Linked DNA regions of Xenopus tropicalis. The protein of the gene in region 2 interacts with the protein of the main gene of each other region in a biochemical or structural test. Links are inferred from orthologs where the notes say so. Each region holds a gene or a part of one and is shown on either strand. Other genes may lie near its edges.

Evidence for each region.
Region 1: the proteins of hnf4a (region 2) and srebf2 form a complex in vitro, tested with the Homo sapiens proteins (2 studies listed by BioGRID and IntAct). The link is inferred for Xenopus tropicalis from reciprocal best matches to the Homo sapiens genes HNF4A and SREBF2.

What each region holds. Positions count from the first base shown.
Region 1 is NC_030680.2:120,149,650-120,153,310, forward strand, and holds part of srebf2 (sterol regulatory element-binding protein 2), read left to right. Parts: intron 1-629; coding exon 630-891; intron 892-1,559; coding exon 1,560-1,729; intron 1,730-2,056; coding exon 2,057-2,219; intron 2,220-3,044; coding exon 3,045-3,156; intron 3,157-3,379; coding exon 3,380-3,489; intron 3,490-3,661.
Region 2 is NC_030686.2:38,457,712-38,461,372, reverse strand, and holds part of hnf4a (hepatocyte nuclear factor 4-alpha), read left to right. Parts: intron 1-2,985; coding exon 2,986-3,160; intron 3,161-3,661. UniProt on the Homo sapiens protein: Transcriptional regulator which controls the expression of hepatic genes during the transition of endodermal cells to hepatic progenitor cells, facilitating the recruitment of RNA pol II to the promoters of target genes. Activates the transcription of CYP2C38.

The sequences.
Region 1 (3,661 bases), on a different chromosome or scaffold from region 2:
CTTTTTCAAGGAAAATGCTTTTGGCTAACTAAATGTGTTTGTAGTTAATGTTGCATCACTTAGTACCTTCAAAGCGCATAACTCAGGAAAGATAACTGAACAGAGTGGTCTTAAAAGAAAATTGCTTTTTAGTGCTGAGTTATATACATAGATTAACTTCATTAATTCATTTTGCTAGTTAAAATGTACTTTGACTTGTTTCTTATGTAAGCAGAGTAACTAAATATATTGTATAGCTAGTGTGGAAAGGGTCACAGGGACTTCCAGTTCCTCACAGGTAGATATCATCTTTACTGGTTAAACTACATTGGGCTTCCTTAATGGTGTTACCTGTTTAAATTTAGCCAGGCAGTTTGTCTTTACCAAGAGGCTGCATTGCACCAATCACATGTGTGTCTTGGCATGCACATAGACCGATATAAAGATAACTTTTTCTGAAGAATGTGGTTACCCAGGAACCATAAATCTGTAGACCAAATGTTGTACTAAACAAGACTGAGCAGCTAACAACAAGTTTTTTTTTTTCCTTTTCATTCATTATGATATTTTATTAGAATGTACAAATTTATTTCACATGCAGCTGTTATGGGTCTCAGTATTTATTTCCATCTTTGCTTGATTGTTTCCAGGGGGATTTTGGTGCCGCAGCAATAAACCTGCAGACATGCTTGTGTGTTTTGGGACGCTCATTACCTGCCTCACGGTTTGATCTGGCATGCAGCCTTTCTTGGAACATCATTCGGTGTAGCCTGCAAAAGATCAGCCTTGTCCGTTGGCTGCTAAAACACTCCCCTGGGTACTGCAAAAAAGCAGAGTTTCAGGATGAGGCAACAACCAGTGCAAGGGATGCTGCCCTAGTATACCATAAACTGCACCAATTGCATCTGACAGGTAAAAACTACAAATAGCAGAAAAGTCTGGAAAAAAAGAATAGTAAAATATAGTAAAACGTTGCAATGCTGATCTTACATAAATGGAGAGGTTGTCACGGCTCTGTGTGTTTCCAATAATGCATCTTTTATTCATCATTATTATTATTAGGAGCACTAAAGGGTTGAAAGAAAGAGCTTTCTGTTTTCTGCTTAGCTTTACATAGTTACAGAAAAGAGGAAAACGTCAGAAATCAAAAATTGAGAAATTGAGCCATAGTCTCAATAATATCTAGAAAAGCAAATACATGTTTACCTTTAAATTGTGCTTCTGTCAGTGTCTAGGATATAAATAGGCATTCTCACTAAATCTCATCCTTAATTCCACTGCCACATGTCCAGGCCCCCTAGGGGGCCAACCCACAGTTTAGGAACCTCTGTTCTAAAGCATGCAGTATCACTAAAGTAGCAGTATCCAGGTTTCTTTAGGCAGTTTATTATTTATTGGTTGTGCTAGATCCATGAACAGTTTTTCTGTTAATTATTACACCATGTTTGGCAATTCAGTTTCGTAAATAATTTCTCAGCACTTTCAAGATCAATTCTTCAGAGAAGTTGTAGTATTTAGTGCACAGTTTGTCACAAAGCATATTGCATTCCTTCTTAATGAGTTTTTGTTTTTTTGTGCAGGGAAGCTGCCATCTAATTGGAATTGTTCAGGTCTCAACCTTGCTCTCTGTGCTGTAAACCTGGCCGAATGTGCTGGCAACAAGATCTCTCCAAATTTACTTGCAGAAATCCACCTAACTACAGCCATTCAAATGAAAACCAGTTTCCCAAGTAGATTCCGCTTTCTTACTGTAAGTTTAAAAAGTTTTATTTACAGTAAATATAAACCTGGATGAAATCTGTAATGATGGTGCTTAAAGCCAGAATGGTTCTGCTTCACACCACTTTAGTGATAGCATAGCTATATGCTCTAAAATCTTTTTTATTTTATTATTTTGGGCCTGTAACTATATATACCCATATGTATGTACTAACCCTCTGAAACATTGTGACTGAGAATATAGCACCTCATCAAAAGTTTTGGTACTTAAATCCTCTGTATTTTGCACTCCATTCTGCACTTTTTGTAGTTTCAGAATCAATTTATATGCAGACCTAATCCTTTATAATTCACACAGGCATATTTCCTTGGCTGTGCCCAAAATGCTTCTTCTGAGGAATCTCTTCCTGACCCCGTGCGATGGCTTGCGCATCCTTTGGGAAAATACTTTTTCATCAATTCTAACTGGGCTCTGAAGAGTGTGACTAAAGACTCTCTTTACACCTCAACAAGAAACCCAGGTACTTTATGGCCCAGTTAATGAGTGCGTATATCTTCTGAGAAATACAGTACATGTGGAGTCAACTGAAATAGTTCTAATGTTGGTATATGTTAATTGTAATAGCACATCCTACTGTGGTGATAAGCAACTGCAGATATTGGAAGATTTACAAATCCCAGTTAATGGAGAAGGAAAGGCTAAGTCACTTGGGGGTGCCAAAATGTTAGGCACCCCCAAGTGACCTTAATCGCTTACCTTTTACCCCGGGCTGGTGCCCCTGTTAGGAGAGAACTGCACCAGCCCGGGGTAGCTGCAGCAAGCGTCTCAATTTCCTTTGCGCGCTTGCGCATGCGCAGTAGAGCAAAAAGCCGAACTTTAACAAAAAAGTCAGCTTTTTCACTCTACTGCGCATGCGATGACCCAGGGATTCCATAGACAGAAGACATACGGAAGAGGAAATACTCTCTGCAACTACCCCAGGCTGGTGTGGTTTTCTTATAACGGGGGCACCAGCCCGGGGTAAAAGGTAAGCGATTAAAGTCACTTAGGGGTGCCTAACATTTTGGCACCCCCAATTGACTTAGCCTTTCCTTCTCCTTTAAGCTTAAGTTTAGTGCTGAAAATTCTACAGCATCAGTAGAACAAAAGGTTGCCTGTTCCTGTCATAACAAATGTATTCTGTTGGTTAACTTTTGTTAAATCGGGTGTTAATCTATTATAATGATCGATAAATCCAAATAAAGGGAAGTGTAGTTTAACTTCTTTGAAAGGGTTGCTGGGACTATAGTAACTAGCACTTTTAAGTGGAAACTTTTGACTGACACCTTTAAATTCTGCAATGCAGCTGATCCAGTTACACAGATTCATCGTGCTTTTTGTGAGTCTCTGCTGGAAAAAGCAATGTACACCATGGCGAAACCAGAAACCAGTAAAGCACCCCCTGAAGAGGAGAGTTGGTAGGTATTTAGGCAAAAATAAAATAAGCTCTTTTAAGGGATAGCAAAGTGCAGTAAAAAAACAACTAAGTGAAGGTATTAGGCATAGTAACCATAAGTTTGGTTTCAGTAGCATATGGGAAATAAAGGAAACTGAAGGATCTTTTCAATCCAGCAATTTTTAGAGGGAATCTTGTATTTTTCCTTAGTAACGTATTTGTAACATAAACTATTTGTTTTTCAGTGAGTTTTCCAGAGCTCAGGAATATTTAAAACTTCTCAGTGGGTTTGCAGATTCAGTGGGAAACATTGCCTCTCTTCCCCTCAGTGGATCTTCCCCCATGTCATCTGCAGGTAAAGCTTCTATGAAAAGAAAATTGCAACAAAATAATAGTTATGTGGTAGACATCTGTTTTCAAGGTACAGGTATAGGACCCATTATCCAGAATGCTCGGGACCAAGGGTATTCCGGATAAGGGGTCTTTCCGTAATTTGGATCTCAATACCGTAAGTCTACTAAAAAATC
Region 2 (3,661 bases):
GCTTTTACTCTGAATTTTTTTATTGGTCAAATGTTGTCGGATGTTGAATTTTGTTGGTTTGTATTCTGATTAGTTGCCAAGTTGCAGTAAAGTGCTGGAATGACTTGTTAGGTCAGGGAAATGGCAAAGTGAAACCAGTTCAGCCTATTTGTACCTGCTACAACTAAGGAATCCTGTCACATCATCATAAGTTCTTTTGGGCAGGGCTCTCTTCACCTCTTGTATCGGTTATTGATTGCTTTATATGTTACTCTGTATGTCCCATGTATGAAACCCACTTATTGTACAGCGCTGCGGGATATGGTGCCGCTTTATAAATAAATATTATTAATAATAATCATAGGGATGTATGCCAGGGGCAAAATATAGGTTTTGAAACATCTGATAAGAACATCATGAGAATGTATTAAACAGATTTATGTACAGGCCCTCATTTGTTTAATTACTGCCGCCTCCTATTGGAATTGCCATAACCCTTGTTATCCAGTTGGTGCAGTGGCATCCAAGTAAGGAGTCATCCACAGAGCCCAGTAAAAGTATTATGATCTCACCTGATCATTCACTCTGAGATCTCCATTGCACACATTTGCACTGGCATTTGGCCAGGATATAGTAAATAGGTGTCCCAACTACTGGCAAAGAACCAGTACCAGTAGGATCATAGTCACTATACTAATATGCATGGGGGTAAAAGGTGCCCAGTTTTAGCCATGCAGGGATGCTAATTTGTCTGGCATCCTTTTTAAGATGGTATCAACTACTTTTGGCATTGGATGGGTTCATTGTATTTGAAGTGCCTTTACTAACTACTGGGAAGGCATGGGATGAGTAAAGTCTTGGTTCAGAACATTAAACCCACCCCATGGCACAAAAATGTTATGCTGGATGCTGGATGTTGCTGCAGAACCATCAAGCCAGTTTGCCATCCAATCACATATTCACCTGTACGATTTGGTTAAGAAAAGTACCAGCGTGTCAGGTGGAAATACTCTTGTTCTAAAGGGAAAAACATAAGAAGATATTGACCAATTTGGTGGAAATAGTCCAACTTACTATACCACCAAATTCAAAGTTGGCCAAACACATGAAAGTTCTGCTTTTTTGGTGCTATCACCACACAAGAGGATCTTTGCCTGATTTGGCAACCAAGGTAGTGGAAGAAACCAGGCTGATTTGGCTGGCCGCTGGCCCAATGAATGATGAAGAACAATAGGTCAGAGGGGGAACACATCAACACAAGCTTTTACAATGTGAGTTCATGTATGATATGTGTCATTCATAGCATGGAACATAGCATGTATCCTCTGATTCTTTCCAACCAATGGGAAGTTACTGTTGACCCCTTGCTATTTTTTTTTAGCAAAGGAGTCAATGAGCTTCCCTTCTTTTGGACTTTCTCTGCTGAGCGCCACATATTCTATGCCCAGTTCTATAGCTTTATAGTAACAAGAGCCAGTGAGAGGTAGATTGATGACTATATTTAGCCTGTATGATCTAGTCTTCAGAGGAATTCTTTCAATTGCAAGTACTTGTTCAGTCCTTCCTTGTGAAATATAAATTATGCAAGATATGTTTTTATTTGTACTTCCCCAGTCATTTTATTGGTGTTAATGTTGTCTTTTCCAGCCCACCCCTTGTTGGTGCTACTGGGCCACCCCAGTGTATGACCTTGTACAGGCAGAACACAGTGCCATTTTATTAGTTTGCCCAAGTAGAAATGCTTCTGGTTTTACCTACCTTGTAATCAGCACTTTTATGGCTCCATCTCTCCCTACTATACCTGCTATCCCACAGCCACAGTCCCTTCCCAGAGGCTATTATCCCCCCACTGCTACTATAGGCACCATCTCTCCCTACTATACCTGCTATCCCACAGCCCCAGTCCCTTCCCAGAGGCTATTATCCCCCCCACTGCTATTATAGGCACCATATCTCCCTACTATACCTGCTATCCCACAGCCCCAGTCCCTTCCCAGAGCTATTATCCCCCCACTGCTACTATAGGCACCATCTCTCCCTACTATACCTGCTATCCCACAGCCCCAGTCCCTTCCCAGAGGTTATTATCCCCCCACTGCTACTATAGGCACCAACTCTCCCTACTATACCTGCTATCCCACAGCCCCAGTCCCTTCCCAGAGCTATTATCCCACTGCTACTATAGGCACCATCTCTCCCTACTATACCTGCTATCCCACAGCCCCAGTCCCTTCCCAGAGGTTATTATCCCCCCACTGCTACTATAGGCACCAACTCTCCCTACTATACCTGCTATCCCACAGCCCCAGTCCCTTCCCAAAAGCTATTATCCCCCCCACTGCTACTATAGGCACCATCTCTCCCTACTATACCTGCTATGCCACAGTCCCTTCCCAGAGGCTATTATCCCCCCACTGCTACTATAGGCACCATCTCTCCCTACTATACCTGCTATCCCACAGCCACAGTCCCTTCCTAGAGGCTATTATCCCCCACTGCTACCATAGGCACCATCTGTCCCTACTATACCTGCTATCCCACAGCCCCAGTCCCTTCCCAGAGGCTATTATCCCCCCCACTGCTACTATAGGCACCATCTCTCCCTACTATACCTGCTATCCCACAACCACAGTCCCTTCCCAGAGGCTATTATCCCCCCACAGCTACTATAAGCACCATCTCTCCCTACTATACCTGCTATCCCACAGCCCCAGTCCCTTCCCAGAGGCTATTATCCCCCCCACTGCTACTATAGGCACCATCTCTCCCTACTATACCTGCTATCCCACAGTCACAGTCTCTTCCCAGGGGCTATTATCCCCCCACTGCTACTATAGACACCATCTCTCCCTACTATACCTGCTATCCCACAGCCGCAGTCCCTTCCCAGAGGCTATTATCCCCCCCACCGCTACTATTCTCTACTATTCTCTTCTTGTGTATTTAATATTAGTTGGACATTTTTTGCACATACTAATACTCTTTATAATCCCTTCCTTCCAACAGATACATCCCCCTCAGATGTGACAAGTCTTAATGCCACGAATAGTATCGGTGTTAACTCTCTGTGTGCCATTTGTGGTGACAGAGCGACTGGCAAACACTATGGGGCTTCCAGCTGCGATGGCTGTAAGGGTTTCTTCAGGAGGAGTGTTAGGAAAAACCATATGTACTCATGCAGGTGAGACAGAATTCAACTTCTGATGCCCTAAGTTATATAGATTTTATAAGTGCATAAACATCACCTGACTGACAATATACTATTATTGGTTTATTTGCTATCTATCTCTAAAGGGAAAGGATGGGGGTGATCCAGAGCTTTTATATTTTCCCCCCTCCCATAATTGCTCAAAAACCCCACAAACTAAAAGTGAAGTGATCGGCCTCTTGATCCAGGAGACATTTTACAAGAAACTTTATCACTACAGAGATTAGATGATTTATTTCTCACTTCAGATACTGAGTACACACACCCCGGCTGGGACTAGATAACCACAAGATGAATGTGCCACTTAGTAAATAAGTGTGGGGGGGAACTGATTGTATATTTTCTGATGCTTACAAATTATCCTGAAAACAAATGCCCAGTTACTGCCTTAGTATAGGTCAATTGGACTGGTTTACAAACTTGGGTATCTGGTCAAAAATCGTTCAGTTGAAGTTTGCCACAGAATCAGCTTTG